3 linked regions of the Caenorhabditis elegans genome follow. The protein of the gene in region 2 purifies or fractionates together with the protein of the main gene of each other region. This does not show direct contact. Each region holds a gene or a part of one and is shown on either strand. Other genes may lie near its edges.

What was found.
Region 1: the proteins of figl-1 (region 2) and Y51A2D.8 fractionate together in Caenorhabditis elegans (co-fractionation; one large-scale study listed by BioGRID). This does not show direct contact.
Region 3: the proteins of figl-1 (region 2) and W03G1.2 fractionate together in Caenorhabditis elegans (co-fractionation; one large-scale study listed by BioGRID). This does not show direct contact.

Annotation. Positions count from the first base shown.
Region 1 is NC_003283.11:18,547,128-18,558,073, reverse strand, and holds Y51A2D.8 (Cysteine proteinase), read left to right. Parts: upstream 1-4,223; 5' UTR 4,224-4,227; coding exon 4,228-4,373; intron 4,374-4,774; coding exon 4,775-4,855; intron 4,856-5,213; coding exon 5,214-5,577; intron 5,578-6,621; coding exon 6,622-6,816; intron 6,817-6,943; coding exon 6,944-7,034; intron 7,035-7,738; coding exon 7,739-8,022; 3' UTR 8,023-8,071; downstream 8,072-10,946. Other genes in the region: ttr-25 (TransThyretin-Related family domain), read right to left, coding at 52-189, 258-385, 1,127-1,286; ttr-24 (TransThyretin-Related family domain), read left to right, coding at 1,521-1,680, 2,268-2,395, 2,476-2,613; ints-5 (Integrator complex subunit 5), read right to left, coding at 9,050-9,268, 10,264-10,582.
Region 2 is NC_003283.11:4,337,983-4,349,652, reverse strand, and holds figl-1 (Fidgetin-like protein 1), read left to right. Parts: upstream 1-3,653; 5' UTR 3,654-3,656; coding exon 3,657-4,240; intron 4,241-4,943; coding exon 4,944-5,375; intron 5,376-6,386; coding exon 6,387-7,017; intron 7,018-7,888; coding exon 7,889-8,026; 3' UTR 8,027-8,222; downstream 8,223-11,670. Other genes in the region: mcm-7 (DNA replication licensing factor MCM7), read right to left, coding at 109-313, 375-1,423, 1,469-2,305, 2,354-2,455; hpo-18 (ATP synthase subunit epsilon, mitochondrial), read left to right, coding at 3,233-3,361, 3,409-3,444; glrx-3 (Glutaredoxin 3), read left to right, coding at 8,346-8,588, 9,102-9,764, 10,515-10,646; irld-1 (Receptor L-domain domain-containing protein), read right to left, coding at 10,777-10,868, 11,330-11,420, 11,467-11,670. UniProt on the Caenorhabditis elegans protein: Has a role in spindle assembly which acts in the progression through mitosis during embryogenesis. Required for fertility.
Region 3 is NC_003282.8:520,813-529,902, forward strand, and holds W03G1.2 (Ribosomal RNA-processing protein 8), read left to right. Parts: upstream 1-3,839; 5' UTR 3,840-3,884; coding exon 3,885-3,941; intron 3,942-4,003; coding exon 4,004-4,235; intron 4,236-4,715; coding exon 4,716-5,125; intron 5,126-5,178; coding exon 5,179-5,484; intron 5,485-5,528; coding exon 5,529-5,576; 3' UTR 5,577-5,679; downstream 5,680-9,090. Other genes in the region: Putative sphingomyelin phosphodiesterase asm-3, read right to left, coding at 1-78, 124-225, 278-448, 986-1,066, 1,119-1,229, 1,278-1,570, 1,944-2,066, 2,222-2,313 and 3 more.

The sequences.
Region 1 (10,946 bases), about 14 Mb from region 2:
AAAAATTCCAATTAAAACATAAAAGTTATCAAAAAGTTCCAAAAAAAAAGTTTAATGAATGCAATCAGTACCCTCTCCTGGGTACTTATTGGCCAAATTCAGAACTCCAATGTCAAAAAGTTGAGCTTCTTTGGATCCTTTGCCAACTGCGTTCTTCGGAACATGAATGGTAACCCTTTTCGGGCAAAGCTGAAATTTTTGAGAATTTTTTCAGTAAAATTTTTGAAAAAAAGTCGAAATTTTTCGCTGAAACTCACTCCGACGTGGTTGCATCTGTGATAAATATTGATTTTTGGGTCGATCTTGCGAATTTTATTCTGGCCGCCGACTACTTTGAAGGTTCCGTCTGCCAATGTGTTTGTAACGTCCATCTTGGTGTCATAGACTGCAATTTGGGGCATTTTGCTTCCAAAAATGATCAGATCGCTAGGATTTTACAAAATTCAAACTCGTGGCGTCAATAGCTTCAATTTGACACCCATATTGTCTATATTCCGGCAATTTTGAAGATTTTGGTTAAACCGCGACGCGACCGCAACGCACGGTGATTTTTTGCTTCAAAATGTTGAATAAACTAATGTTTATTTGAGATTTCTAAGTTTGTATTAGTGATACTGAAATTTTTATGTCTTCAAACGTGCACAGTCCTCAGTGATACGCTTGTTTGCAAATTTGAGCGGCCGCGACGCGGCCGCGACGCATGGCTAAAATCAAATGTCTTTAAATATATACAATATGGGTGTTAAATGAGAGCTATAAACTACAAATTAAGGAAATACACGCGTTTGATTTCCAGAAACTGATTGTTTCGTTGCTACGACTGCTTCTGAACTTGAGCGACCGCGACGCGACCGCACCGCACTCAAAAAACTAAAGTTGTCTGATCATAGGCAAAATGGGGGTCAAACAAAAGCTAAGAACGTCAAAAATTCAAAAATCGTATTTTCAACCTTTAAAAGCGAACTATTCTAATGTTACGGTTAGAAACCGCGACGCGACCGCACCGCACTCAAAATACCAAAGTTGTCAGATTATAGGCAATATGGGGGTCAAATGAAAGCTAAGAACGTCAGAATTTCAAAAATACACAAATTAAAACATAAAACTGGAAAAAAAAATGGCTCACCAGTTCCATCCTCATACAGCTTGATCTTCACATCCTTCACAGCTTGGCCGTTGCAAGTGAGCTTACCAACTACAGTAACCGTCTGCTTTCTACCAACAATTCCGCCGAGCCCGTGAGCCACGGCTAAAGTCGCAAGGAAGAGCAGACAAAGTTTGAGCATCGTTTGAGCAGATTCTCAGGAAGTTTCCGTGAGTTTTGCTCCCGGTTTTTATGGGATTTTCGGGTGACAAACATGTTTTTCTGGTCCCCAGCGGCATGTTTACACTAAACAACAACTGTTCCGTTAGATAATCACCTAATCGCCGACTTTTATCCGTTTCTCATCTCGTCTGATTTCCCTGATTTCTTATCATTTTCCTGGATTTCTTATCGATTCCCGGTCGACTCCTGAGCAATGTTCAAAGAAATTCTGCTCATTTCCACTGTTTTTCTGCTCACTGATGCCTTGGGAGGTATTGTTGGGAGTAAACAGACGGTCACTGTGGTCGGCAAACTGGTCTGTAACGGAGCACCGGCTAGAGACGTCCGTGTGAAGCTTTTCGAGGATGGAACTAGTAAGTTGAAAGTTTCAAATTCGATTTTTTCAAGTTGAAAATGTCTCACCACGCTGTTAGCTTCAATTTGGCACTCATATTGCCTGTATTTGGACAATTTTTGGTTTTAGGGCACGGCGCGGTTGCGTCGCGGTTTCTAATAGTCACTATTTACCGTAAAATTAGAGCAGTTCGTTTTTAAGGATCAAAATTACGATTTTTGTATTTCTGACGTTCTTAGCTTTTATTTGACCCCCATAACGACTATATTCGGATAACTTTGGTTTTTTGAGTGCGGTGCGGTCGCGTCGCGTGTCAAATGCAAAAATTATTGTAAAGCTCCACAATGGCAAACATTTTTGAACAAAGACGTTGTATTAATCATAACTCAAAAACTTACCGCGTTGAAGCATGAAAAATGCAATTTCAATTTTCGCCGCGTTGCGGTCGCGTCGCGGTCACACACCCCAAAATTCAAATTTGTCCGAACATAGTCAATATGGGTGTCAAAATTCTTGTCTTGACCTGGAAAATCTGAATTTCCTAGTTTTAACAACAAAAATGTTAACTTTGAACATTTTATTTCACAAAAATACAATTTTCTGCAGTCTACGACACGAAAATGGACTCGGTGAAAACAATTGCTGATGGAACATTCAAGGTCTCGGGATCCCAGAATAAAATCCGCAAGATTGACCCGAAAATCAATATTTATCATAAATGCAACTATTCTGGAGTAGGTTTTTGGAGAAAAAAATTGAAAAAATTCGATTTTTTTCCTATTTAAAAAAAATTCAAAAATTTTGAAATTTTCAGCTCTGCCCAAAAAAAGTGACTATTCATGTTCCAAAAAATGCAGTTGGTAAAGGATCCAAAGAAGCTCAACTTTTCGACATCGGAACCCTCAATTTGGCTAACAGATACCCAGGAGAGGGCACTGATTGCATTCATTAAACTTTTTTTGTAATTTTTTGATAATTTTTATGTTTTAATTGGCATTTTTCATAAAATAAACGTTTAATTACAATTTTTAAAGTGTTTCTGTAAAAAAAATGAGCAAATTCTGACAAATATAGCCTAAAACCATGAGAGGGACACTTATGGGACACCTATGGGACATTCGGGGACACCAGGGGACATTTTAAACAATAAAAATGTAAAATTCGTGTTCTTCATAAAATTTGCAAAATTTTAACACCCATATTGATTATACTCTGAACATTTGGACGTTTTGGCCAAAAAACGGCCCAGAACGGCCTGAAACTGGCCCGAAACTCAAAATTTATTGAAAAATAGATTTTCTTCACCTAAAACTTCAAGATAATTTTCAGCCTTTTGATTTAACTTGCATAACAATGAAATGTTGAATTTCAGGCCAATTTCAGGCCATTTCAGGCCGTTCTAGACTTGAAATATGAGCACCACGAATTTAGGTCAAGGTAAGTGTAGAAATTTTGCAGTAATAAGAAAAACCTAAAAGTGAAAACGCAGTTCCAGAAAATCTAGAAATTCAGGCCTGAAACGGCCTGAAACGGCCCGAATCGGTCCAAATCATTTCGACAAGCCCAGTTTCTTGAAATATAGCCGATGTAAATGTCAAATCCATAAAAATGATATAAAAAATATTGCCATGTACATTAAAAAAAAAATTTTTTTTGGAAAAATATTTGAACCGTTCAAAATTAAACCATTTTTCATGTTTTAATTTGCAATATAAACGCTTAACTACATCTATGCAAGTGTTTCTGTAAAAAAAGAGCAACTTCTGACAAATATAGCCTGAAAACCACGAGTGGGACACTTATGGGACACCTATGGGACATTCGGGGACACCCGGTAAAATTTTGAGAAATATGAACTCAAAATTCGTGTTCTTCATGAAATTTGCCTAGTTTTGAAACCCATATTGGCTATGTTCTACAAACTTTGAAATTTTGGGCAAAAAACGGCCCGGAGCCTGAAAATGGCCTGAAATACAAAACTTTCCTTTAAATAACTTTTATTTCACAGTTTCAAATTTTTCAAAAACGTTTGCTGAAATTATCGACATATACCCGTCAATATTTGTTTTCAAGCCTAGAACGGCCTGAACTGTCCTAAAACTGGTCTGAAATTCAATTTTCCGCAAACATAACCAATTTAGTAGTTCCTTATACAAGTTGGCAAATTACTACAAACGCACTGGCATTAAACTGAGTGTATTGATATTTGGGCTCCAAAAAGCCCGAAACGGCCTAAAACTGGTCTGAAATTCAAATTTCCTCGAATATAGCCAATATGGGGGTCAAATAAACGGAAATTTTATGAAGATTCCAAATTTTCATGTAACAAGGCTTGAAAAAAATCAAAATTTTCAATAACTTGCTCATAAATTAATTTTTCAACCCCCTGTCAACACCAAAAATCTATAAAAGAACCCCAACAAATTCGATGTCGAAATGTGCAGAATCACCCCGATCTTTCCAACTTTTTCCCCCGAAAAAGTGGAAAATTTTACGATTTCGGCCATAAAACTCGGAAGCTTAAAAGCCAACCGTAGCCCGAGGCAATCAAAATTTCGCCGCGAAAATGCAAGTTTTCGTGATTTTCCTGGTGGTTCTACCCATTTCAGGGGTAGTTTCCATCAATATTACAGAACCCGAATTTTTTGAAATTAATATCGATCGGGACCATCCGGAGAAGCTCTACAAGGCTTTTGAGGATTTTAAAAAAAAGTGAGTTTTTTTAATAACGAAAACTTGGCCCAAACTTCAAAATTTTGAAAAATCAATTAAAAATTCGGATTCCCCATAGCAAATAACCCCTACGCCTGAGTTTTCAGAATTTTAGTGCAAAATCCCGTCAAATCGGGTGCCGGGTACGCAAACACCAGGCTACAGTAACCCAAAACACCGGATTTGACGACATTTCGCACGAAATTGTTGAAAAATAGGGTGCAGGGGTAATTTTGGGTGGAGAATTCGAATTTTTACATAATTTTTCAAAAAAAAAATGGTTTTGAAGTGTTGAAATTTCGATTTTCAGAAATAATTGAACATTTCTATTAAAATTTTTCAGAAATCTTATTGTTGCCGTTTTAAGCCACTTTTGAGAAAAAAAACATAATTTTTCACAGGTACAACCGAAAATACAAGGACGAGTCGGAGAATCAGCAGAGATTCAATAATTTCGTAAAATCCTACAACAATGTCGATAAGTAAGTGAAAAAAAACATGGCCCAAACTTCAGAATTTTCAAATTTCGAGTCGAAATTCGGATTCTACGTAGCAAATAACCACTAACCCCGTTTTTCAAAAATTTAGCGCAAAATTCCGTCAAATTGGGTGTAAGGTCCACAAACACTAGGCTACAGTAACCAAAAACACCAGATTTGACGCAAAATTGCACTAAAGCGTTGAAAATTTCGGGACAGGGGTAATTTGAGGCGTAGATTTCGAATTTCATAATGAAAATGTTTTAAATTTGAGTTTAAAAATGAAATTTTTGAATAAAAAATTTCGAAAAAAAATTTCAAAAAAATTTTTTTTTTTCGGTTTTTTTTCAATTTTTTTCAGATTAAACGCAAAGTCAAAAGCAGCCGGATATGACACCCAATTTGGCATTAACAAGTTTTCTGACCTATCCACCGCCGAATTCCACGGCCGTTTGTCCAATGTAGTGCCCAGCAACAATACAGGGCTCCCAATGCTCAACTTCGACAAGAAAAAACCGGATTTTCGCGCGGCCGACATGAATAAAACACGCCATAAGCGTAGATCAACACGCTATCCAGACTATTTCGACTTGAGAAACGAGAAAATCAACGGGCGATACATTGTGGGCCCGATCAAGGATCAGGGGCAATGTGCGTGTTGCTGGGGATTCGCGGTCACCGCACTGGTGGAGACTGTGTATGCAGCACATTCTGGAAAGTTTAAGGTAAAAATAAAACAATTATTTGAAAAATTTGAATGAAAACTGTGAAAGTTCGAGGAAAATCGGTGAAAAATTGGCGTGAAAACTCGAATTTTTCGATTTTTTTTTGAAAACAGAAAACATTGCCGTTGGAGCGCATTTACACCCTCTAGCCTGAAATTTAATTCTATTTTTCTGTAAATATATCGTAGATCACATTTTTTGCTATGTTTTCCATTTTGAAAAATGGCAAAGTTACGTTAGTTTCAAGTGTTTAAAGCGAAGTTGAACGAATTTTCAGTAGGTTCTCAGCGGAGTGCGTTTACTGCTTTTACACTAAATTTTATTAGACTTTGACTATTTTAATATTAAACTTTGCAAAAATTGGTATTGTACACGTTTTTTAAATTTGGAAAATCTTGAAAATTGGCCAAATTACGGATGTTTCAAATTTTCTAGTCAAAATACACAGAGTTTTGAGGAGTTCTCATTGGAGCGCATTTACAACCCCTAAACTAACTTTTCTCTTATTTTTTTGTGCATAGTTAATGTAGATCACATGTTTCTCTACTAGTTTCTTTTGGAAAAATAAGAAAATCTTGAAAACTGGCCAAGATACGATTTTTCACAAATTTGGGTCAAAAAATGAGAAATTTTGAAATATTCTTATTGAAACGCATTGGCAAGCCCAAAACTAATTTTTTTTTTCAAATTTTCAATGTATTTAGTGTAGATCACATGTTATTTCACTAGTTTCTTTTTTAAAAATAAGAAAATCTTGAAAATTGACCTATTTACGGATGTTTCAAATTTTCTAGTCAAAATCAACAGAATTTGTAAGAATTCTCATTGGAGCGCATTTACAACCTCAAAACTGACATTTTTTCATGATTGACTACTACAAATATAGCAGATCATATAATTAGGCGCAATTTTCAGTTTGAAACTAAAAAAAATCTTAAAAATTGGCAAAGTTACGGTAGTTTCAAATTTTTCAGTTAAACTTGGCAGAATTTCAGAATTTCACTGAATTTTTGAATTTCTATGTAAATTTTTGAATATTTTCAGTCCCTATCTGACCAAGAGGTTTGTGATTGCGGTACGGAAGGAACACCGGGATGTAAGGGAGGAAGCTTGACCCTCGGAGTCCAGTACGTCAAGAAATATGGGCTTTCTGGAGATGAAGACTATCCTTACGATCAAAATCGGGCTAACCAGGGCAGAAGATGTCGTTTAAGAGAAACTGACAGAATTGTGCCGGCTGTGAGTTGGAAATTTGAAAATTTGAAAAAATTCCAAAAAAAAAAATTTTTTTTTCAAAAATTTTTTTTTCAAAATTTTTACTTTTTTTAGAATCAAATTTTTTAATTTTCTACCAAATTTTGTTCAGAGAGCCTTCAACTTTGCCGTAATCAACCCACGCCGAGCCGAAGAACAAATCATCCAGGTGCTCACCGAGTGGAAGGTCCCAGTAGCTGTCTGTAAGTCGGCGGGACCAACTGGGGGACATGGGACATCCGGGAGTTTTGAAATTATTAAATTCAAAATCTCCTAAAAATTTGCAAAGTTTTGACATCCATATTGGCTATATTTGGAGAAATTTGAAATTTGGGCCTGAAACGGCCTAAAATTGGCCTAAAATCGGCCTGAAACTCAAAATTTTCAGTCTATAGCCCATGTTAGTGTACCAAAAAAAAATTTCAATTAAAAGCCAAGTATTTTGGCTATATTTCAGTAAATTATATTTTAAGACCTGTTTCAGGCCTATTTCGGCCTGAAATCGGCTCAATACTCAAAATTCTTTTGTTTTGGTGTCACAATTTTACCATTCAATTGAAAACTTGAAAATATTTGGAACATTTCATTTCAAGGCCAATTTTACCCTAAACCGGCCTAAAACCGGCCCGAAACTCGAAATTTGCCGATCGAAATCGATGTCGGTGCCAAAATTTTGAAAATTAAATAACCAACTCAAAAGTTTTGCTGAATATGAAGTACTTTCTTTTCAGGCCTGTTTTGGCCTAGAATCGGCCTGAAATTGGCCCAAAACCCAAACTTATCGAAATATAGTCGATATGGGTGTTAAAATTTTGCAAATTTAACGTGTAATTCAAAAATCTAGCTGAAAACCTGCAGAAACTCCAAGTTTTTCGAAAAAACTCGAAATTAAAAAAAAAAATTCCAGATTTCAAAGTCGGCGATCAATTCAAAGAATATAAAGAAGGAGTGATCATTGAGGACGATTGTAGAAGAGCTACTCAATGGCATGCCGGAGCAATTGTGGGTTACGATACCGTTGAGGATAGCCGTGGAAGAAGTCACGACTACTGGATTATCAAGAACTCCTGGGGAGGCGATTGGGCTGAGTCGGGATATGTTCGAGTGGTCAGGGGTAGGGATTGGTGCTCAATTGAGGATCAACCAATGACTGGAGACATCAAAGATCATAAAGATAACTATTACTATTAATTTATTTTTCTCACTTCTTTTTGTTAAAAAAATGAAAAATAATTATTTTTTTCGAAAATTTGTTTCTTCAAATTTCACAAAAACTCTTCAATTTTAAGCTGTTTTACTTAAAAAATTGAATTCTACGCAAAAAATGTGTTGATTTAACACCCATATCGACTATATTCGAAAAACTTGAACTTCAGGCCGTTTCAGGCCATTTCAGGCCATTTCAGGCCCAAAATTTCAAAAAGTTGCTTTGTGCCTTGCTTTTACCAGCAGTTGGTGATCTTCAACGTGGAATCCGATTGAGGAGGCAATTTTGGGAAATAATCAGCTTATTGGCTGAAATTTCTAAAATTTAAACCGAAAACTTGGCCCAAATCTGGGAATTTCGAAAAATTAAGCTCAAATTCGAACTCCGCGTGGTAAATTACCCCCTACCCACAATTTTCAGAATTTTTGTGCAAAATCCCGTCAAATCTGGTGCCAAGTTCGCAAACACCACGCTACAGTAACCCAAAACACCCGATTTGACGACATTTTGCACTAGAGCTCTGAAAATCCGGGTTCAGGGGTAGTTTTTGATGGAGAATTCGAATTTCGACTTGAAAATCTGGAATTTTAAGTTTGAAAGTACTGAAATTTCGGGTTTCGACAATCTGGAACAAAAACTTGGCCCAAACTGGAAAATTTTGCAAACCTGAGCTCAAATTCCGATTCCCCGCGCTAAATAACTCCTAACCCCCGATTTTCAGAATTTTTGGCCAAAATCCCGTCAAATTTGGAGCCAAGTTCGCAAACACCACGCTACAGTAACCCAAAACACCCGATTTGACGACATTTTGCACTAAAATTCTGAAAATTGCGTGCTAGAAGTGATTTTTCGCGTAGAATCTGATTTTGAAGTCAGATTTTCAAAATTTTGAAGTTTGGACCGAGATTTTAGGAAAAATTTAATTTTTTTTTAAAGATTAAGTTTATAAAAACAAATAAATAAATAAAAATACAACAAAAAAACAGCGAGATTCGGGGGAAAAGTCGAAAACTATTCAACTTTGCACAATTTCAGAAATTCAAATTCCAACGGGAAAATTTTCGGGAACAAGTGGGCCGAGTCGGGCAAATGATTTTGAATGATAATTCTAAAGACAGAAGTATTGATTTTATCGATTGATTCTTTTTCGGCGGGCAGGCCCTCGTCAACGTCACCGCGTAGAATTTCCATGTGATATGTGTCGATTGTGGCGGTATTTAGCTGACGGACCTGGAAAAAATTCGGAATTTTTTGGACAAAAAAAAAAGACATTTCTGACTTTAAAACTTGAAAATTCCGAAAAACCAGGTGAAAATTTGAATTCTCCATCCCAAATTCCCCCCCCCCCTTAGCGCAGCCCAATTTTCAGAATTTTAGTGCAAAATTCCGTCAAATCTGGTGTTTCGGGTTACTGTAGCGCGGTGTTTGCGTAACCCACACCTGATTTGACGGAATTTTGCACTAAAATTCTGAAAATTGGGAGTTAGGGGTAATTTACCACGGGGAATTCAAATTTGAAGTTATTTTACCAAAATTTTGATTTTTGGGCCTAAAATTTCGGCCCAAAATTGTAAAATTTGGATTTTCAGGCCCTAATTTTCAAAATTTCGAAAAATAAAATTTAAATTCGGATTCCCCGTGAAAAATTACCCGGAAACCCCAATTTTCAGCAACTTTGTGCAATTTTGCGTCAAATCTGGTGTTCCGGGTTACTGTAGCGCGGTGTTTGCGGACTTGACACCAAATTTGACGGAATTTTGCACAAAAACTCTGAAAATTAAGGGTTAGAGGTAATTTGACACGGTGTATTCGAAGTTGAAGTTATTTGGCCGAAATTTTGCTTTTTGGGCCTAAAATCTCGGCCCAAAATCATAAAATTTGGATTTTCAGGCGCTAATTTATAAAATTTCGAAAAATAAAGTTCAAATTCGAATTCCCTGGGTCAAATTACCCCTAACCCTCAATTTTCAGATATTTTGTGCAATTTTGAGTCAAATCCGGTGTTTTGGGTTACTGTAGCGTGGTGTTTGCGGACTTGGCACCTGATTTGACGGGATTTTGCGGGAAAATTCTGAAAATCAAGGGGTTCGAGGTAATTTTCCACGGAGAATTCAAAAATCGGCTCGAAATTTCAAAAATTTCGAGTTTGGGCCAAGTTTTTGGCGGTGCGGAAATCAAAATTTGGGTCAATTTTCAAAAATTTTCGAAATTTTTCCTATTTTTACCACAAAAAATCGCCAAATCTCGACGAGCATCAAATGTGTCTCATGACACGTGGAGAATTGTTCCAAATCGCAAATCGGCGCCAGTCTGCCGGGCAAAATCCCGCCTTTTTGCGCCAAAAACACCCAGTTTTGTAGCTTTTGCCGCGTTGGCTCGGAAATTGCTACGTGTTCGGGGAATTTTTCGGTATCGTTGAGCAGCACGGCCAACTTCGACTTCATGATAGGCAGGCAGTAGGCGAAACTTCGAGTTTCGGCAAGAATACGCAGGATTCCGTCGGAGAACGGCGAACGGGCGATGCGTTGGGCGATTTCAACGTGTCTGGAATGGTTGGTTTTTTGGTGAAAAAATTGGAAAAAAAATCGATTTTTTTTCGAATTTTTCATGAAATGTTCGAAAAATTTTGAAAAAATCGATTTTTCTGGAAAAATTTTGAAAAAATCGATTTTTTCGAAAAATTTTGAAAAAAATTGATTTTTCTGGAAAAATTTTGAAAAAATCGATTTTTTCGAAAAATTTTGAAAAAAATTGATTTTTTTGAAAATTGTTGAATTATCGATTTTTTTCGAAATTTTCATTAAATTATCGATTTTTTTTTAAAAAATTTAGAAAAAAATCGATTTTTTCGAATTTTTCATGAAATTTTCGATTTTTCTGGAAAATTTTTGAAAAAATCGATTTTTTT
Region 2 (11,670 bases):
ATTGTCAAACATAGTACAATCTTACGATAGTTATTTAGATAGTGTGTGATTAAATGTGGGAGGGGGTGAAAATTAAAAAGGCAATTCGTCGAAATTATACAATTAATTTTAATTCATAGCGAACACAATGTTCTGGCGATCCATGACCAAGAGACCGTTAGCAGTGTATTGATCCAGGCATTTCTTGAGAGCAACCTCGCTGATTCCCTTGCGAGCGCATCTTTGAATGGCGTTTGAGATGGCGATCGGGGCGTTGTCGGCATGGTAGAGCTCACGAAGAACGGCGAATGCAGCATCGACTGGAGCCATGCGCCTGAAAAGAAAATAATTTTATGATTAAAATATTCGCTATAAATAATTTTCTGAAAACTTACTTCTCAATTTTGTTCTGTTCTGGTCTGAGCGAGTCCTTAGCGAATTGCATCAAACGGAGAGCTTCTTCAACGTCACTTTCGTCGACAATCGTGGATAGACGAAGCTTAGCACGAGCTGTCGCCATTCTGACGATTCCTAGAATCATTCTTGGCGACACAAATGTTGGATCGGACGAATATCTAGCATCTCTGCGCATCTCAACGTATGCCTCGACAATACGTTCTCGAAGAGCTGGATCGACAGTTGGAGTATACGTCTTGCAAAGAGAAATGTACTCGCGAAGTGTCTCAAGCGAGATGAGATCCTTCTTCTCACGATTTGGATGGCAACCGTGCTGATGAACATATGTGATGTGCTCAGCGAGAATCTTGTCGTTCTCACGATCAGCCTTGTCCTGCATGAGAAGAATCAAATCGAAACGGGAGAGAAGTGCAGCTGGAAGATCAACGTTCTGCTCAATGGAACGATTTGGGTTATATCTTCCGTAGGCTGGATTGGCAGCGGCGATGATAGCCGTACGAGCGTTGAGTGTCGTCATGATTCCAGCTTTGGCAATCGAGATGGTCTGCTGCTCCATAACTTCATGGATCGCAGTTCTATCGTGATCCATCATCTTATCGAACTCGTCAATGCAGCAAATTCCTCCGTCGGCCAACACCAAGGCACCACCCTCGAGAGACATCTCTCCAGTGACGGGATCCTTCATCACAGCGGCCGTGAGACCAACTCCAGAAGAACCACGACCAGTAGTGTACTGAGATCGTGGAGCCAACCGGTTCACGTAGCCGAGAAGTTGAGATTTAGCAACTCCTGGATCTCCCATCATCAGAACGTTGATGCATCCACGAATTTTCATTCCGTTCGAGCTGTTGTCATTTCCTCCAACGAGAGCCATCAAAAGGCACTTTTTAACATCAACGTGGCCGAAAATTTCCGGAGCGATGGAGGCGGCAAGAGTTTCGTAGTTGTCTCCTTTGCGACGGAGAACTTCCAGTTCGGCGGATTGAACTCCATTGAAAGTTGGGTTGTCGTCAAGATTGTTGATGTACTGAAGAGTAACGAATAATTTGATAATTTTCAAGTTTTAACTTACGTGAGCTTCCAAATAGGTATCGGCAACGAGTCCTCCAGTTGGTCGGAAGCCAGACTGCATAATTGGCAAGAATACTCCAGAAACATGCACGACATTTCCAGTATTGCACTTTCTCGTCATCTCCCCGTAAACGTGAACAGTCATTGTGCGAGGAATCGATCCTACTGGGACTTGCTCGCTGAGCTCTTGAATTTTGAGCTCTTGGAACTTGACGAATTTCGATCCACGAAGCTGCATGTGAAGTCTTCCGTTGGCTTTTGCCTCAACGCATTCCTTGTTGGGACAGTTGACCGGTGGGGTGAATTGCATTCCCTTCACAGGCTGATAGACTTCGGCGGCACAAGTATCGCAAGTGTAGGTCATGACTTCAACACAAGGTTTCACCTCGGTCGCACGGATAACAACTCCCTTCATGGAGACCAAGTGCCCGATCTCGGTGGCTTTGATGTTTCGGACACACGTTTCATGGGCGGCATCGTCCGTTGTGAAGTAGACCTCGAAGCGTTGAAGGAGCTGTGGTGGGTATTTCTTGCGTTTGTCCTGAAGAGAAACTTCCTCGTTGGCGGCTCCCTCGTTCCTATCCATATGAAGACGCTGGAACATGTAGGCATCAAGAGCATCGATTACTGGCGCTTGCTTGTCTCCGAGATAGTCCTGGATCATATCCGAAATTGTGTCCTTGAACAGGACTTCGTATCTCTTTGTATTGGAAGTAATGGCTTCTGAGAGTTCAAGAGCATCTGGAATATCAGATTCCTTAATATGGTCAACATTCACAACGATTGCCTGCTTGTCGCGGCGAGCAATTTCAAAGACTTGATCACGATATGGGAATGCCTAAAAGTTGAATTTAAATACTCATTTATACACCAAATTCGGGAATACCTTTCCAGATCCGTCCTCATTGTCCACATAGTATTCGTCGAAGAAACTGCGAATTTTCGTCTTCTCGGCAGCCCAGTCTGTGTTGTAAGTGGTGGTTTTCATGGTGAGTGAGATTATAGGATTATAGAGCCGGGCTGAAATGATGGAAATTTTATTTTTTAATTGGAAAAACTGAAAAAATCGCGAAAAAAGCTGCTCTTGTAGCACAAAACCGATAATAAATGAGCGAGAGAGTGAAGGAATGTGCGGCAGATGGCAGCGTCGTCCGTTCGAATTTCGCGCGTTTGCCTCCTTCATGTCGTTGCGAGACCCACCAGAGTGCGAAAGTCTATGCGCCTTTAACTTATATTTTTCCGACATGGACTGTGCCATTTTTAGCTGTTTTTAAAGAAAATTGTTCGTTTTTTCATTGATTTTTGGTTGTTTTTAGATGGAATTAATGTTTATTTTAATTAAAATTGGTAAAATAATTGCTAAAATCGATAAATTGCTGCAGAAACGACAGGCAATTCTGAGAAAAAATGTTTTTTTTTGTCTCATCAGTAAAATTGTGGTTTTTCTTGGTTTTTTGTTAGTTTTTAGATGGGATTAATGTACATTTTAATCGCAAATTGTAAAATAGCTTTTATAATTTCGAAAATCGATAAATTGCTGCAGAAACGACACATTTTTTGTTTCAAGAGTAGAATTGTGATTTTTCATTGATTTTTGGCTGTTTTTAGATGAAATTAATGTTTTTTAATCGCAAATTGTAAAATAGCTTTTCTAATTGCTAAAATCGATAGATTTCATTAGTAAAATTGCGGTTTTTCTTTGTTTTCTTGTGCAAAATTAGTCGCTTTTTTCCAATATTTCTTTTTTATTCATGTTTTTCAGAAAATGGTCGCCTGGAGAGCCGCTGGACTCAACTACGTGCGTTACTCGCAAATCGCTGCCGAGATCACCCGCAAGTGCACCAAGCAAGTCGGAGGAAAGGCCGCTGTTAAGAAGCCAGAGGCAACTCTCAAGGTGATTAAATACGCCTTATTATTCAAGTTTTAACACGAATTTTTCAGATCACCACATGGGAAAATGGAAAGCAGCAAAAGTAGACAAATGATCGCACAACAGTATTCGAATAATTCCATTTGGATACATTCCATACCTTTCTTCTCTCACTTCCGATTGTTTATGATTTATTTTATTAGACGATATAAATTTTAAGCTCAATTATTCCTTTGCCTTTAAGTTGTTCAAGTTACCCCAGTCTTTTTGAATATTTTTTTGTGGGGGTTTTCAGGTCAAAAAACACTATTTTCAGATTATGTATTCTCCAAAACGGGTAAAACTCAATGTGACCAGTGGAATGAGAAAACGGCCCGAAACCGGCGAAAATAACGATGATCTTTACCCACCGACGGCTCTTGCTCGCAATGGGATTAGTCCGTATTTTATCGGAAAACCCCGTCGAAAAATAGTCGTGGAGACACCTTCGGATTCAGCTCAGCAGCAGCCTCCATTCAAATCTCGTTCTCAACAAAATGGTCTGGATGACGAGCTAGACGGGATAATAATTGATGAAGACGAAGATAGAACCGTTGATGTGTCGTTTTCACAAAAACAAGACACCCGGAAGCTCAAAAGTCGACCGTTTCTTGGCGAGAAAAGCAGCTTCAAACTTGGCGAAATTCCGAAACCAAAGGAGGAAAAACGCCGAGAAGAGCCGTTCACAATGCGAGGCTTCGATTTTGGAAGCGACGATAAAGTGACGAAAATCAGAGACAAAATCTGCGATATAGTGGATCCTACAAATGCTAGAAGAACTGATCCGAATTTTATTCGGCAAATGCATGAAAATACGCTGAAAGGCATCGAGGTGGCTTCAAATCCGCACTTTAAGAAGACCAGGTTCGTTAAGAGATCACGAAATTCTGAGAATGCGTATTTCACAACATATTTGACGCGCAAGATATCTCGTAGCGAAAAAGAAAACTACAGTAATTCTTTAAATGAAGCGCTTGTGTCGATTTACGGGCTTGATTCTCGGAAAAAGACACATTTTTCGAATTTTGATAGCGATATTCAATTTTTCTTCGTTTTTTTCCTATTCCTTTATCATTTTTGTGCTTATTTTTAATATTTTTTTTCCATTAATAAATTATTTTAATTGAAAAAACTCCAATATTCGCGTCATTTTGATGATAATACTCTAATACTCCACAAGCGTTTTTTTAACACTATTTCCCGTTTATTGCCGTAATAGGCGGGAAATAATATAAAAATACGCCTGTATGAGCTTACTCATCAAAAAAACGCCAAAATTGGAGTTTTTTGCAATTAAAGTAATTTATTAATAGATAAAATATTAAAAATAAGCACAAAAATGACCATGGTATTCGAAAAAAAAACGAAGAAAAATTGAGTATCGCTGTCAAAATTCGAAAATTTTGTTTTTTTTCCGAGAATCGAGCCCCCGTAAATCGACACAAGCGCTACAGTAGTCATAAAAAGAATATTTTGCGCGTCGAATATGTTGCGCAGTACGCATTCTCAGAATTTTGTGTTCCCGTAATATTAATCGATTTTTTTAAAAATGAAAGCGTCGTTTCAGAGCACCTACGAAAAACCGAGCAGCTATCCAAAATACCCTCGGAACCCTCTATCCATCATTTACGACTGCAGCCGGCCAGGATCCACAGAATAGCAAGTTCCAAGTGCCTCTGGATCGTCAATCCAGTTCCCAATCGATTGGAAGCTTGGCAGGGATACCACCGGCCAGAAGAGCACCGGATATCCCGAAACGATGCTCCAATCCGCTCATCAGAAAGGCGATGGGAATGGATACGGAAGGAGGTGGAAAAGATGAAAAAATGAGTGGATTGAGAGCTGAGCCAACGCTAAAGCACTTTGATGAAAATATCATTTCATTGATTGAATCGGAAATTATGTCTGTGAACAATGAGATCGGATGGGCTGATGTTGCTGGATTGGAAGGAGCGAAAAAAGCATTACGGGAGATTGTTGTACTGCCATTTAAAAGACCGTACGTTCTGAAAGGAGAAAAAAAGGGTTTTTCGGGTTTTTAGCTTGCTCAGACTCATAAAGTGCTCAAAAATGGCTGAAATTGGTTAAAATCTCGTTTTTTGTCAACTTTTCCACTTTTTTTGGTGGTTTATTTCACATTATTTTGTTGACGTAGGTACACTTAAAGCCGATAGGTGTTTTTAATTTAATTGTTTAATTTTTTATCGACTTAAATGAACCTAAATTGACGAAAAAATGTGATATAAACCACCAAAAGATGCTAAAAAGGATGATAATTCAATAAAATAGTGTTTCAGCTGATGCGGACAGGAAAAATAGACGAAATTCGAGATTTTAGATAAAATTAGCTATTTTTACGAGGTTTTGAACGCTTATTTTGTGCTTTTAGTCTATACACGCAAAAAAACCTCCTTTAAAGGTGGTGTAGTCGAATTTTTTATTGCATTATTAGACTCAAAATTATCTGAAAACACCGAATTTTATGATGAAACTACTTGGAAACTTCTCAAAAAAAAGTTATGAAGGCTTAAAAAATGTCCTAAAATTAGTTAACATTTGAAATTTGACCGACTTGTCAATGTCGCAGCGGCTGGAAACAATTTTTTTTAAATCACCGTCAAATTTTGAGTATGTAATGTAATTATCTTGCGTTTTCAACTTCACTTAGGTATTTTAAAGTCGATGGACGGCGAGATTTGGTAAAAAAAAACAATTTTAATCTCGCCGTCCATCGACTTTAAAATACCTAAATCGAGTTGAAAACGCAAGATAATTGACCTGTATACTCAAAATTTTACGGTGATTTCAAAAAAATTGTTTCCATCCGCTGACAAGTCAAATTTCAAATTTTAACTAATTTTAAGCCATTTTTTGAGCCGTCATAACTTTTTTTTGAGAATTTTTCAAGAAGTTTCATTATAAAATTCGGTGTTTTCAGACAATTTTGAGTCTAATAAAGCAATTTAAAAAATCCTCCAAAAATTTAATTGACAATTATAATTTTTTTCAGTGACGTCTTCACCGGAATCCGTGCTCCACCGAAAGGTGTTCTTCTATTCGGACCACCAGGAACCGGAAAAACAATGATCGGGAGATGTGTCGCTTCCCAGTGCAAAGCCACTTTCTTCAATATTTCAGCATCGTCGTTAACCTCAAAATGGGTTGGAGAAGGTGAAAAGCTTGTTCGTGCTCTGTTCTCAGTTGCTCGTCTGAAACTTCCGAGTGTTATCTTCATCGATGAGATCGACTCGTTACTATCATCCCGGTCGGAATCGGAACACGAATCTTCACGGCGCATCAAGACAGAGTTCCTGGTACAGTTGGATGGTGTGAATACGGCTCCAGATGAACGGCTTCTTGTATTGGGTGCCACAAATCGGCCACAAGAGTTGGATGAAGCTGCTCGTCGACGCTTCCAGAAGCGACTGTACATTGCGCTTCCGGAGCCAGAGTCGCGCACACAAATTGTGCAGAATCTACTTGTAGGCACGCGTCATGATATCACAAATCATAATTTGGAGCGGATTAGAGAGCTTACAGACGGCTATTCTGGAGCTGACATGAGGCAATTGTGCACTGAAGCAGCGATGGGTCCTATCAGAGACATTGGAGACGATATTGAGACGATTGATAAGGATGATGTGAGGATTCTGAATTAATATCAAACACTTGTGATCGGTGTAATCGCGCTCCACGGCCAATTGAAATTGCCCCGCCTCATAATGCTGGGTCTCGTTAGGAAGAAAAAAAATCCCATTGCTTTTGATTATGCGTTAATATCGAAGCTTCACGTGCATTTTCAAGAATCATTTCGGCATGAAAACCAGAAAGCAACTGAAAATAAATCAAAAAATGCATATAAACGGATGATTTCAGTAAAATCGAATTAAAAACTTGAATTTGCCGCCAATATTACGGTAACACTGAATTCGGAGAATGCGTACTGCACGACATATTCGACGAGCAAAATATCTCGTAGCGAAAACTACAGTGATTCTTTAAATGACTACTGTAGCGCGTGTGTCGATTTACGGGTACGATTTTCGAAACAATGAATCTCGTAAATCGACACAAGAGTTACATTAGACATTTAGAGAGTTACTGTAGTTTTCGCTATGAGATATTTTGCGCGTCAAATATGTTGCACAATACGCATTATATAAATTTAATGTTCCTCTTATACATAACGAGACCCAATGTTTAGCGTTAGAGCGCGATTGCACCTCAATTTAAAAAATCTCATTTTCCTCCGTCCACATAATAAAACACCTCCATGTTCCGAAAATGAACACTTTTCGAAAATTTATGAAATGTCATGCCACAACAACAAACAATTTCGCAACTCTCTCACATGACTGACGAATCTTATTATTTTTTATTTACCATTTGCCGTACGAATTGTCACATTTATTTTCTATTTTTGCACTCGGTCATCATAAAAATTAGATAAACACTCGAGCTCTGAAACATCAAATGCTCCGGTTTTAATCAACTAATCGATGAAAATTTCAGATTCGTGCCGTTACTGTAATGGATTTCGCCGAAGCAGCTCGTGTCGTTCGGCCAACAGTCGACGATTCTCAATTGGATGCCTACGCGGCTTGGGACAAAAAATTCGGTTGCCTTCCACCTCCTTCAATATCCCGTTGAGACCTTCAGAATTGAGCTGTCGAATATGTGTACTATAATTCCATCCACTTCTTCTATTTATTTATTTTTATTTTCATTGAAATCTTCTCCTGTATTATGCATTCCATCTCTTTTCTATATTATGATCTCAAAACGATCCGTATTTCATTGTTTTTTTTTATATTTTTTCTGAAAATTATTATATATTTTCAATTTTTAAACATATTTTTCATTATTCATTATTGAAATTTCAAGGTTTATTTTACCTTTCTCGTATATTTTTTTAATTTTTTTATTCAAATTTCTAGCTTTTTACCATTGCCAGCCAAAAAATTCCAGAATGCCAATTCAAGAAATCAAGTCAGGAGAGGAGGTTGCTGCGTTCATTAAGGAACCATCTCCAGCTGTTCTTCATTTCTACGCATCGTGGGCTCCAAGCTGTGAGCAAGTTAATCAGCTACTGGATGATTTGCTCGCTGAAATTGCTCTGCCGCTTCGTGCCGCCTTCATTGACGCTGAAGCTTTGCCCGGAATTTCGTTGAATTTCAAGATTACTGCTGCGCCGACGCTTGTATTTTTTAGTGTAAGTGAGCAACGAAAAAACAAGAAATTGAAATTTGTGAAAAAAAACAAAGAAAAGTTTCGATTTATTCTGAACTTTTTTTTAGGAAAAAAGTCATTGAAAAACGTTAAAAACCACTGAAAACCACATTTTGAAATCATTTTTTCGTTAAAATACCAACAAAAAACCAAAAAGTCCTATTTTACAAAATATTTATTCAGATGGGTCTCGGCGCGCAAAAAAGTTTATGGTAGTTTTTCATGCAATGTTCAATAAAAATTGCTTCGTTTTCTTTCCATTTTTCTGCTAAAAATGTTTATTTGTACCTAAAAAACTGGTTTCTAAAAATTTTAACAGAAAAAAATGAAAAGAAAACGATAAAATACGCTAAAACAAAGTAATTTCGTTGAAAAATGCAAGAAATAACTACCATAAACTTTTTCTGCGTGCCGAGACCCATCTGAATAATTCCGTGCGCCTTTAAGCGAAATTTTACAATACATCCAATTCATAATAAAAAATGATTAATTTCAGAATGGCAAAGAAGTCGACAGAATCGATGGCTTCGTGCCAAAAGAGATCCAATCAAAAGTTGTTCTTGTTGCCAGCCGATCCCTTTCCCAGAGCTCATCGGATGCTTCATCTACAACCTCTTCCACACCTTCACTGACTCCACAACAAGAAAAGGAAGCTCTAAATGCCAGATTGGGTGCGCTGGTCAATTCTCAAAAAGTCATGGTTTTCATGAAAGGAGATCCATCGGCGCCACGTTGTGGTTTCTCGAGAACTATTGTCGAACTTTTAAATTCACATAAAATCAAATTCGGATCCTTCGACATTTTCTCGGATGAAGCAGTTCGCCAAGGATTAAAGGAATACTCGAATTGGCCAACTTATCCTCAACTCTATTTCGATGGAGAATTGATTGGAGGGCTTGATGTCGTCAAGGAGGAGTTTTCAGATCCACAATTTATCAAGCAACTTCCGAAAGTTGGAGAAAATAGTGAGGGGGGATCACTTGAAGATCGACTCAAAAAGCTTGTCTCATCGCAAAGATTGATGCTATTTATGAAAGGAGATCGGGAGACACCAAAGTGCGGATTTTCACGAACTATCGTTGATTTGTTGAACAAGGCTCGTGCTGATTATCATACTTTTGATATCTTGGAGGATGAGGAAGTCAGGCAAGGGCTTAAGGTTAGCTCTCAAAAAATGTTGTCGAAAAATATGGGGAAATTGCTTTAAAACATGCCTTTGGTACCACAATAACCAAATATCACCGTAAAATTTTTTTATTTTAAATTTTCTAAATTTTATATGATTTTTTGAAAATTGAAAAAATCTCAGTTGAAAAAATCTCGTCGAATTCCGATTTGAACCTCCCGCCAAGTGATTTTAGCGATGGAGCGCGCTTGCTCGTTTTTGTTTTTATTTATTGTTATTGTTTTTCTTATATTCCACCGATTTTTCTTGTTTTCAGTGTATTTTTTCAGGAAATTTGAAGGAAAAGTCAAGAAAAATGTGATTTATCGATTAAAAATCAACATTAAAGGCTTAAATCTTTGAATTGAACTATTTCAGGCTTTTACGCCTTTAATTTTTGATTTTTAATCGATAAATTACATTTTTCTTGACTTTTCCTTCAAATTTCCTATAAAAATACACTGAAAACATGAAAAATCGGTGGAAAATAAGAAGAAGAAAAACACAATAAATAAAAATAAAAACGAGCAAGCGCGCTCCATCGCTAAAATCACTTGGCGGGAGGTTGAAATTGGAATTCGACTCAAACTGAGATTTTTTCAATTTTCAAAAAATCATATAAAATTTAGAAAAAAATTTAATAAAGTTTCTTACGGTGATATTTGGTCATTGTGGTACCATAGGCGTGTTTTAAAGCAGTTTCCCCACTGGCACTACTTCACCTTTAACAAATTAACTTTACAGAAATTCTCCAATTGGCCAACTTATCCACAGCTCTATCTCGACGGAGAGCTCGTCGGAGGGCTTGATGTCGTCAAGGAAGAGCTCTTGGATACGCATTTCCTTCGTCAGATTCCAAGAATTAGAAATGATTAATTAATTCCATTCCACGCTACTTGTCTTCTTGATATATTCCCCGGAAACCCCCCGTTAATTGCCTTTCAAATTACTTTATGTGTGTGTAAACTATTTTATTGTCCATATGAAATAGTACAGAGATTGTTCATCAGTTCGATCGGTCATAGAACAAGATCGTAGACAACGCGGAAGCAAGTGCTACAAACAGGAAACCCATGATTCCGGCGAGTGGTTTGAATACTGAAATTAATTTCACTGTGTTTGAGTAGAAGGATTTGTTGAAAAGCTGTGGCTATGGCTGAAATCGTGGCGAGACCTACTTTAAATAAGTACCAAATGTTGCAAATTTTTACGATATCACGACATTCAAAGTGGTCTGGCCAGCCGCAACACATTTTTTATGCCAAAACTACGGTACCCGGTCTCGACACGAAACATTTTAAACTAAATTCAAACTGGTGTGCGCCTTTAAAGAGTACTGTAATTGAAAACCTTCTTCGTCGATTTTGCATAGTTTCTTGTTTTATTGATCAAGTTTTACACATTTCGACCAAAAAACTATAAAAAATCGATGAAAATACCGCAGCAACGAAAGTTCTGAAATACAGTACTCTTTAAAGGCGCACACCCATTTGAATGCAACAAAAATGTCGTTTCGAGACCGGGTACCGTAAGTTGGCCCAAAAAAAACCAAAAATTACCATCCTCCAGGCAAATTTCTGCGGAGAGACTCGAGTCGATAAGGAATGTACGAGCTGGATGTCCCGCCAAATACCACAAGTTGTAATCATTCTGAAATTCTCAGTAGAGCGAGTTTGCTTACGCATATCACACATACCATATCAATAACACGATTCTTATTTTTAAGAACCGCAAACTTTATCGGATGTTGGGTCAGAGCCTTCGAAAATTGACCGCCAACTGAAAATTTGACGTTTTCGTTGAAGAGGACCAAAATGCACGGAAGAAGCGATGCATTGATGGACCGGAGAGACGGGAAATGGATTGGAGAGCTGATATTTGTGTTGTTCGCAATGATTAT
Region 3 (9,090 bases), on a different chromosome or scaffold from region 2:
ACCCCATCAATTGTGTAGATTCTATAAGCCGGGAAATAATCCGAGTAGGGTGTCACAGACGGAGCCGAGTAGACCACACTAAACGCAACACATTATCTGAAGCCCGTAGTTCCAGTTACTCACTTAGTTGGAGTAGACTTATAGTCATCCGGGTTCGCGTACATCATGTAGAACTTTTCAGAGTGGGTGTGCCCGAAGAATTGACCGACAACTGTGTTTGCGTATCTGAAATCATTTACAATTTTTACGTACTTCTCTTCTAACTTTTGAAACTAACCGATTGATAATCTTATAATAGTTTAGAGCATATCCTTCAAGAGCTTCTCCGTCGGATCCAGGGATATGTGCAACGATATGTACCTTGTCTCCAACATTTTCTGCATCTTGGAGCTGGTTGATGAGCCATTGAAGGGTGCCATCTGGGTCAGTTTGGTTGATGTATAGCCAGCTGAAAACATTATTATTGTAATCCTACAGTACCGCTACCGTACCCCTAGCCTGCCCCAATCATAACGTACCGTGTCCCTACCGTATCCCTACCGTATTCTTATCGTACAGTGTCCTTACCGTAACTCTGCCGTCTCCCTACCGTATCCCTCTCGTACACCAGTTATACCACACCGTGTCCCTACTGCATCCGTTTTGTACCGCGCCGATACTGTACCTCTACCGTACCCTACCATATTGTTCCCGTATCTCGCGGTACCCCAACCGTACCTCACCATACCTTTAATGTACCACCACCGTACCTTATCCTACCGTATTCTACCGTACCCCAACAGTACCCCAACAGTGCCATATGATGTCTGCCTAAGACCCCACCGTACACCTATCATACCCCTAATCATAAAGCACCTATATTGTATGTTACCGTACCTCGACAGTACCCCTATCGCAAAACTACCGTACTCCTAACATACTCTTACCGTACCCTTACCGTATCCTGTCGTACCCCTCCCGTACACCTCACCGTACCCTCACTTACAAATTGATGCGATCTCCATAAACATTATTCAGCGAAATCATTCGAAGCCCATCATAGATCTTCTTCATGTAGCATCCGTTACTGAAATTGAGATGCTTACAATTTTTTTCCCAAACTCTTCAAAAAACCCAACTATTCCAAACTCTTCTCCTGATCCGCTGGAATCCATCCCTGCCAGGCGTTTGACATGGCCTTGTAGAGCCAATCCATATGATACTTCTTCGGTGTGAAATGTGGTGCAATACTGTAAAAATGGTCGTGAGTGATAAACATAGAATACAAGTTCACCCACTTATCAACAGGAACTCCTTCATGATTCCCGACTGCAAAGTAGACCGGAGTTTTTGGGAAATACGAGCGAATCGTATCCGACAAGTTTTTTACCATAAACGAGTGGGTTTCCGGAGTGTACGCCCAAACTGTATGGGACACAAGGTCTCCGGATACCATAATGTAGTCCAGTTTTCCAGCGGTACTTGCGATGTTTTGGAGCATGTTCGTGAGAAGCCAATAAGGTGTGTCGCACGAACCAACACTTCCCCAAGGTCCAGCAGGTTGTTTGACATCTCCGTTTTCAACGATTTCCTGAAAAAAGTTAAGGGTTTATACGTGCCTACGTGAGGATCGCGCCGATCAATCAGCGACAAGAGCCACGCCCTTTGTGCATCGCTGATTGGTCGGCGGCCTCTTCAATTACGCGCGAAGTCAAATTTTTGAAATGCTTCTGACAAGTACTTGTTTTCTAGCGTTACATAGTCATATTTGTTAAAAGTGCAGAGTTCTGTAGAGGTTCTGTTAAGTATTTCTTCATTCAAAAATTTCAAATAGAAACCCCCCAACTTCGGGGGCTTCTCCTTCCCATCTCAACTTCCTTATCAAATAAATATTTTTCAGCAACCTTTGTGATCGTTGCTCTTTCTCCCTCTTTCTCAACAATTTTCCAAATTAAACACCATACCACATTCATATCTTGTGGTCGACAACATTGCGGAGTTCCACAGTCTGCCTCGAGCCCGACCGTGTAGAACATGTCAACATGAAGGTCGGTCAAGTGAAGTGCTCGCAGAGTTGGGTTGCCTGGCTGAAAATTGGAGGTTTTGTTGGTGTCGGGGTAGGCGCCTGTTTATGCCTACGTGCAAACCTACCACTTATCTAGTGGCATTCGGAAAATTTGGCAGTAGACAGTAGTAGGCAGGCATAGGTAGGCATACCTTTTTTGTCAAAAAAAAAACCTACCGGAACAACTTGTTTCGGCACGAATGGTGGCTGATTTCCAGGAATCGTCATGTTCCAAATTGTCGCCAATGGATCCACGAAGTCTCCGCAGTCTGAAATAATTCCAAATAGGCATGCAATCGTGCCTACCTACGCGCCTACATGCGTGACTAGCCTGAAAGATAGTGATCAGCTTGGCAGTCTACTAGAATCTTCTCAAGCCGCCCCGCACCCCATGTTCTATTAGGGCGGCGGGTCACTGTTACGCGTCGGTCTGGTAGTAGGCATGTAGGTAGGCATGTTTGTGCCTAGGCATGGTAGTACTTACCATTTTTCATAAGCAATCCGCAAAGTTGATGTGGAGTCACGAGAATTTGCTTGATGACATACATGAATTCGTCCTGAAATCTTTGATTTTCAATACATTTTTAAAATTAAATTAAATATTAATGTGTCTCACTGAGAAATCCGAAATAATAAAGTTACAGACATCATTATCTTCAATATGGAACGTTTCACAAATAAAAACCGCAATTTCCATAACACATTCTTCAGTCTTCTTTTCTCCCCACTCAAATTGCAAAAGGTCCACAATTGACTTGCATTCCTCGCATTCTGTCACCGCGAGGGTGCCTGGAAAATTTTTTCCTGGAATTTAAACACAAAAATGTAAATCTAAAACTCTACCCTGAAATGCGAGAGAAAGGACGAGAAGACCTAGGAGCATCGGAGCCGTATCGTTTCTGATGTTAAACGGGAGCAGCGGCGGAGGGGGAGAAGCCGAGGTTTCCAGTAATAAAGATAAGAAATTTGGAGCGGGAGAAGCACATGGCGATGACACGTTGGGAATGCTCACTGATTTTTGAACGACTTATCAGGTATGGAGACTACAAGTTTTTTGGAAACTATAACTTTTTGGAGAGGAAAAGTTCAAATATAGAAATTTTTCTTGAAAATGCACCAAAAAATGTGAATAAAACCTTTTTTCTGGACAAAGTGCCTACGTGCCTGCCTACTGCCTATTTTAGGCACGAGGCAGGCGCAGGTCGCCTAGTAGGCAGCTATCATTTTTGTATCGGCGCGAAAATTTCAAGAGAAACTACAACAATGGCATGTTTTCCTGCAATGTTGAAATTTTATGCCTGCCTACCGCCTATTTTAGGAATGTGTGTAGAACGAGGCAGGTGTAGGTGGTTCTAGTGGCCTGCAGACTAACATTTTTCGTGAACTTGAAAATTAAAAAATAACATTTTAACTAGTTGGGCTTTCCTGCCTGCCTATGGGCCTATCTACTGTAGGCAAAAGGCAGGCGTAGGCCGTTTCAAAGGCGTGTAGAAATTTTCGTGCGAAACCGAAAAAAGTTATGCAATATTAAATTAATATATATCTTCAAAACCAGAATACGTTTTTTCTACCTCTCTACCGCATATTTCTCGCCTGAAGGCATAGGTCGCCTTGCAGGCAAGTGGCACATTTGTGCTTATGTACATTGGAAAGGTTAAGAAAATGTTTTTTTTTAATTTAAATAAAATAAATTACTCCAAAAAACTGCACCAAAAGTTCAATTTAAAAAAAACGTGAACTTCAAAAATACGAGAAGATTCTTATCACATCCCCTACCCCCACTCTGAATTTTTTCATTATTTTTGTATTTCGAAACTTTCGCGTTGCATCTTCTCCCATCATGAAGAAATTGTCCAAAAAAAGCTCGAGAAGAAAAGTTAAAAATATTAACGAAAAAGTAAGTTGTGATTTTCGAAATTTTCAATTTCCAGGCGTCTTCCAGAACTAATTAAATTTCAGAAAAAGAAATCTAAGGCACGCAGTCATAAAAAGCAACAACTTCAAAAGTCGAAGCAACATGGTAAAAATAAGAAGACAAAAACTAAGTCAACTAGTGGATCTTTGTCGGTGGATAAATCGAAAGAGTCGGAAAAGATGTTGATAGCAAGGAAAAATGATTCAAGAACGGTGAATTACAAGGAAAAAGCACCGGAAGCTGTAAAAGATCATGAGATTCCTAATGCAAATCGCAGTGAGTTCTAGTGTTTTTTTTTTGAAATTTTTTTGGAAACTTTTAAAGGGCTCAGGAAAGTTTTTTAAACGGTTCGGAAGTTTTAGAAACCTTTGGAAAATTTCTGGAAGATTCTGGAAAGTTTTTGGAACGTCTGATGACTTTGAAAAATTCCAAAAATTTTCAGAAGCTTCTGGGAGCATCTAGACATTTTTGAAAGCTTATGAAAAATTTTTAAAGCCTCTGGAAACTCTTGAAACATTTTTTATTCGAAAAAAAAAAATCAATTTGAAACATTGAAATCCACGACGTCCACGTGGAAGCAAAATTATTTAATGACGTATAAAAAAAATTCCAACAAAAAAATTGTGCTTGCCTGTTCATCTTCTGCCTTTAGGTAGACACTAAAATGCCTACCTACCTTAGTAGGTAGGTAGGCAGGCATCTTTGTACCTACCTGAAAATCCAAAACCCTAACACCTCCACAATTTCCTGTTTCAGTTCCCGGAACGACACGGCTCAACGAACCGAAAAACATCGAGGTCACGAATCACGAGGTGGATGATAAGACGACGGAGCGAGTCTATAAGAAGTTGAGGGAAAAGAAGAAGTCGGCGGCGAAACCGAAACCAATCGATGCGAAAAGCAAGCTTCTGATGGATCGAGTGCCGAAAAAACCATATCGATTGAAGAATAAGCCCGATGGTATGATGTTGTGCGACGAGCCATCCACTTTCTACCGTACCAACACTTCAAAGAAGAAACTGAAGACGTCTTTACTTCCCGTTGAGGATTCTTATGATCACGTTCGAAAATTGGAGGACATTAAGAAGGAACCAGAGCAAGATGTGTACAAGGGTCAGGACGTCCCCACCTGGGCAGTAAAAATAGAACCAACTGACGATGACATGGTGAGTTATCTTTTTGTGTAGGTCTCAGGAAAAATAATTTTAAAAAATTTCAGAAAGAGACCGACGAGGCGATCACTGTGAGTACCGATCATTTGGAGATGTACCGAAACAAGAAGCTCAGTCTCAAAAGCATTCCCCCCACGAAACTGGTGCTCAACGAGCTACAACCGTTGGTGGAGTTGAAGAAGAGAGATGAAGTTCACTTTGAGACCGGGCTGGTGTTCTCCAACACGATTCGGAGTCTGTTGCTTGTCCATGAGAGTGCTCGAGCGCTGAGTGATGGAAAAGTGGATGATGAGTATTCCGACAAGAAGGTCCAGTTTGATACACAGGAACCGGAAGCAACATACATCTACTCGGTGAGATATTCCCGGCTGGGGAACAGCTAATTGAAAATTTTCAGAGAATCAACCCAATCGAATCGGCCAAAGCCGCTCGTTCTGGAAAGTGACACGCCAGCACTTCTACCACCAATACAACCACATCGAATTAGAACTGAACTTGATTTTGCCTTGATTTTATAAATAAAGTGTGCGTTCAGGGCTTAATTTAAAAATTTTTATTAATTTTAATAAGGAAATGCGAGCAAAAAAGTGAAAAAGGTTTCAATTTTTGCAGTGGGAGTGGATAGAAAGTAAAACAATGAAATCATTATGTGATGAGCGAGGTAAGGAATAACAGAAGAAGGCAATAAATACAAGTTTTTGAAAAAAATTTAAGTGAGAGTGGAGTAAATAAAAATGATGATGGGAGCTTAGTTCTGGACTTGGGAGGGAAATTGGTACTTACATTAGTTAATTTAGGTAAAAACCTGAAATTTTAAATTCCGGCAATTTTCCCTTTGGCCGATTTGCCGGAAATTTTTAAAGGGATTTTTTAACAGACGGATGAATTTTTTCTGTTTTTTCTACATATTTTCATAGAGCTTACTTTTAAAAATAGATGTAGGAACATTTATACGATGCGTACAATTTTGTCATTTGAAATTGAAACTCTGAAATTTCCAAAAAAAAAGTGCGAAACCACAATTTGCCGAGAATTTTTTCCGGCATATTTTCTAATAGTATTGCATGCGATACTAATTTCCGGATACCTTTTCAGTGCAATACTATTAGAGACTGCAAGACTAATTTCTTTGGGTGCAATACTAATAGAGAACATACGGTAATCGAAAAGTGAAATTAATATGCATTTTTAGGTTTAAAAAACACTAATTCTAAGCCTAATATAGACAAAAAAAGGCACGTTATATTTTCAAAATGATTGACTTTCTTTGGCAGGTATACTACACAAGTTCCGGAAAATTAAAAAAAAACTTTGAACAATAGAGTTTGTAATAGGAACAGCTTGAAAAATAGATGCAAAATGTAAGTTTTTCAAGATAATTCAGGCTCGCCCATTACAACAAAATTTTGAATGAAATTTGTAGAGGAGCACGAGTTTAATAACAATGAGTACAAGCAGTTTCCCAATCATCAAACCCAATATAGAACTCATCATATTCTGGGGGACTGGGGGCCCATTTCCTCACAGTTCCCAATCTGCCGACCTCATCTTCAGTGATCATATGGCCGACTTCATTCACTAATTCTCTCGCCACCATCATTGAATTTATCCTGGAACCCATTGCTGTGGTCAAGAGGTTTGTAATGTTACGAACATCATCAATAGTTTTTCTTTGTCTATTTCCACAATCACATTTTCGGATTTGAATACATCTTTCAATAATTTCACCAATCCCACAATTCGCTCATCCATAGTTTCCTTGTTATATGTAAAAACAAGAGCCGAGCTTGTGAAGCATTTTTGGGTGGCAACGCTTTCCGGTAGATTCCAAATTTTCCTTAGTGATTCAATATCCTTCTTCAATTCAGGAGCAAAAGAAAGATGAGGAAAACCTGGTTCCTCACATACTGCAACAAATATTCGTTTTGACACAAATATTATCAAGTTAAGTTTATAAAGATGTGTAAACTGTCTGACAGCTATCTTGGAATTCTGAGAAGCCATCGATAAGGATAATCTGAAAATTGTTATATAGTTAGACAGAAAAAACAGTATGGAAACACAGGAAGAGTATTTGAAACTATTAGGGTGAGAAATAAGTTTGTGGTTTTTTCTTGCGATATTTTTTCAAACTTTTATATGGTAGTTATAGGAAACTATGATTTGTGTACATTCAAATGTTGTGAATCAAATTTCTCGCTTCCATGCTTCTTGGAGCCACTTCTTGAATTTCAATAATTTCCAACTTCGATCCTTCGGTCCATTTTTGAAAAAGTTTCTCAGTGACGTGTGATTCAACAGGGCAATGAAATTCGATCGATTTCCATTTATTCACCGAGCTAATGATACTGTCGTTTGCAACAAACGCTTCTTTCACCACTCCCATCAGTCGCTCAATTTTCTCGGTTTCGCCGAACAATTTTCGGAACGCTCCATCGATAGTGGTCTGCTTTCAAAGTTCACGCAAATTCGATCTGGATCCTCGACTCGAAACGTTTGAGCAATTTTATGGAACGTGTAATCTTCAAAGTTCTCAAAGAAATTGGAGGAGAATGTCAAACTGTACGCTGTTTGTCTGTTATTTTTGAATGATTCGAAGATTTCGTTGCAGTATCCTAATAATTTTTGGTTCTTGTCCATACATTGCTTTTCGCCTGAAAATTTTTTTGGAACTGGCAACCAGAATTCAGATTTCTTATTCTCTTCGGCATGAACAGCGAGCTGCATCAATAAACGATTTGTCCCTCTTTCGTTCGAGTGAGAAACTGCCAATACCACCAGGTCTGTTGACACTCCGGTCCGAGATGGCAGCCAGAGCCTCGGAGTGACAAGAAGACGACGGACGGAACGGGAGAATTGATGAGCGGTGCTAATAACAGTACACAGTTTGACGAAAATCCAAGTTTATTGAGCAGGGCAGCTTTATGCTGGGATAAACGAGGCAAAAACGTAGAGAATATTTAGTGAATATTTGGGAGAAGAACGGCGACGGGCAGCCAGTCACGAAGGGGAACGAAGAGTGAAGTGAATAGTGGCCACATTTTAGGCCAGAAATTAATATGAGCAAGGGAATAAACAGCGCGCGCTACGACACTCCGATGTGTACAATGGCGCGCGCTTGCATCCTTGGCGGCAAATTCAAATGAGAATTATTTAATTTAATTAATTTAAATGGTGGAATGATTATTAAAGAACGAACAAACGGAATTGTGTGAGTAAATTACCGGCGGATGATTATCGCTGGATTGTGGGCAATTCTTGCCGATAATTATAATCCGCAAAGTTGGGGCGGCGGACCTCTGCTGAGGCCAAGTCACAACATTTCGCCTGGAAATTTTTTGGAACTGGCAACCAGAATTCAGATTTCTTATTCTCTTCGGCATGAACAGCGAGCTGCATCAATAAACGATTTGTCCCTCTTTCGTTCGAGTGAGAAACTGCCAATACCACCAGGTCATGCGAGAAATTCATACTCAAGATGTAGTTTGGTTGGTTTGTTAGGTAGTTTGTGATGGCTCTTGAATTGCTCGACACAAACTTCAGATTCACTCTTAAATTATAACAGTATTTAATCAATAAAACATTCATTAACCCACTGTTGTTGTACATCCATTTTTTCAATTATTTTTTTCTTTGCAAGAAAAGGAAGCTTGAACAGGGCGAACTTGTTCTTTGGCTCTGGAACACGGCCGTAAGTCACGTAGAGCATATCTGAAACATGACATGTTTTTTAATCAAAATAAATATTGAAAATAAGTCCAAGAATACATTTTTAAAGAAGATGAATAATTTGCTATCATAAGGTTAAAGGTGGAGTAGCGCCAGTGGGGTAAATGCTAAAATTAGTCCCATGGTTCCAAAATGACCGAATATCACAATAAAACTCATAATTTCGGAAATCGACCAAAAAAAAAATTTCCCACATTTTTTACACCGTAATTTTGTTTGAATTATTTGCA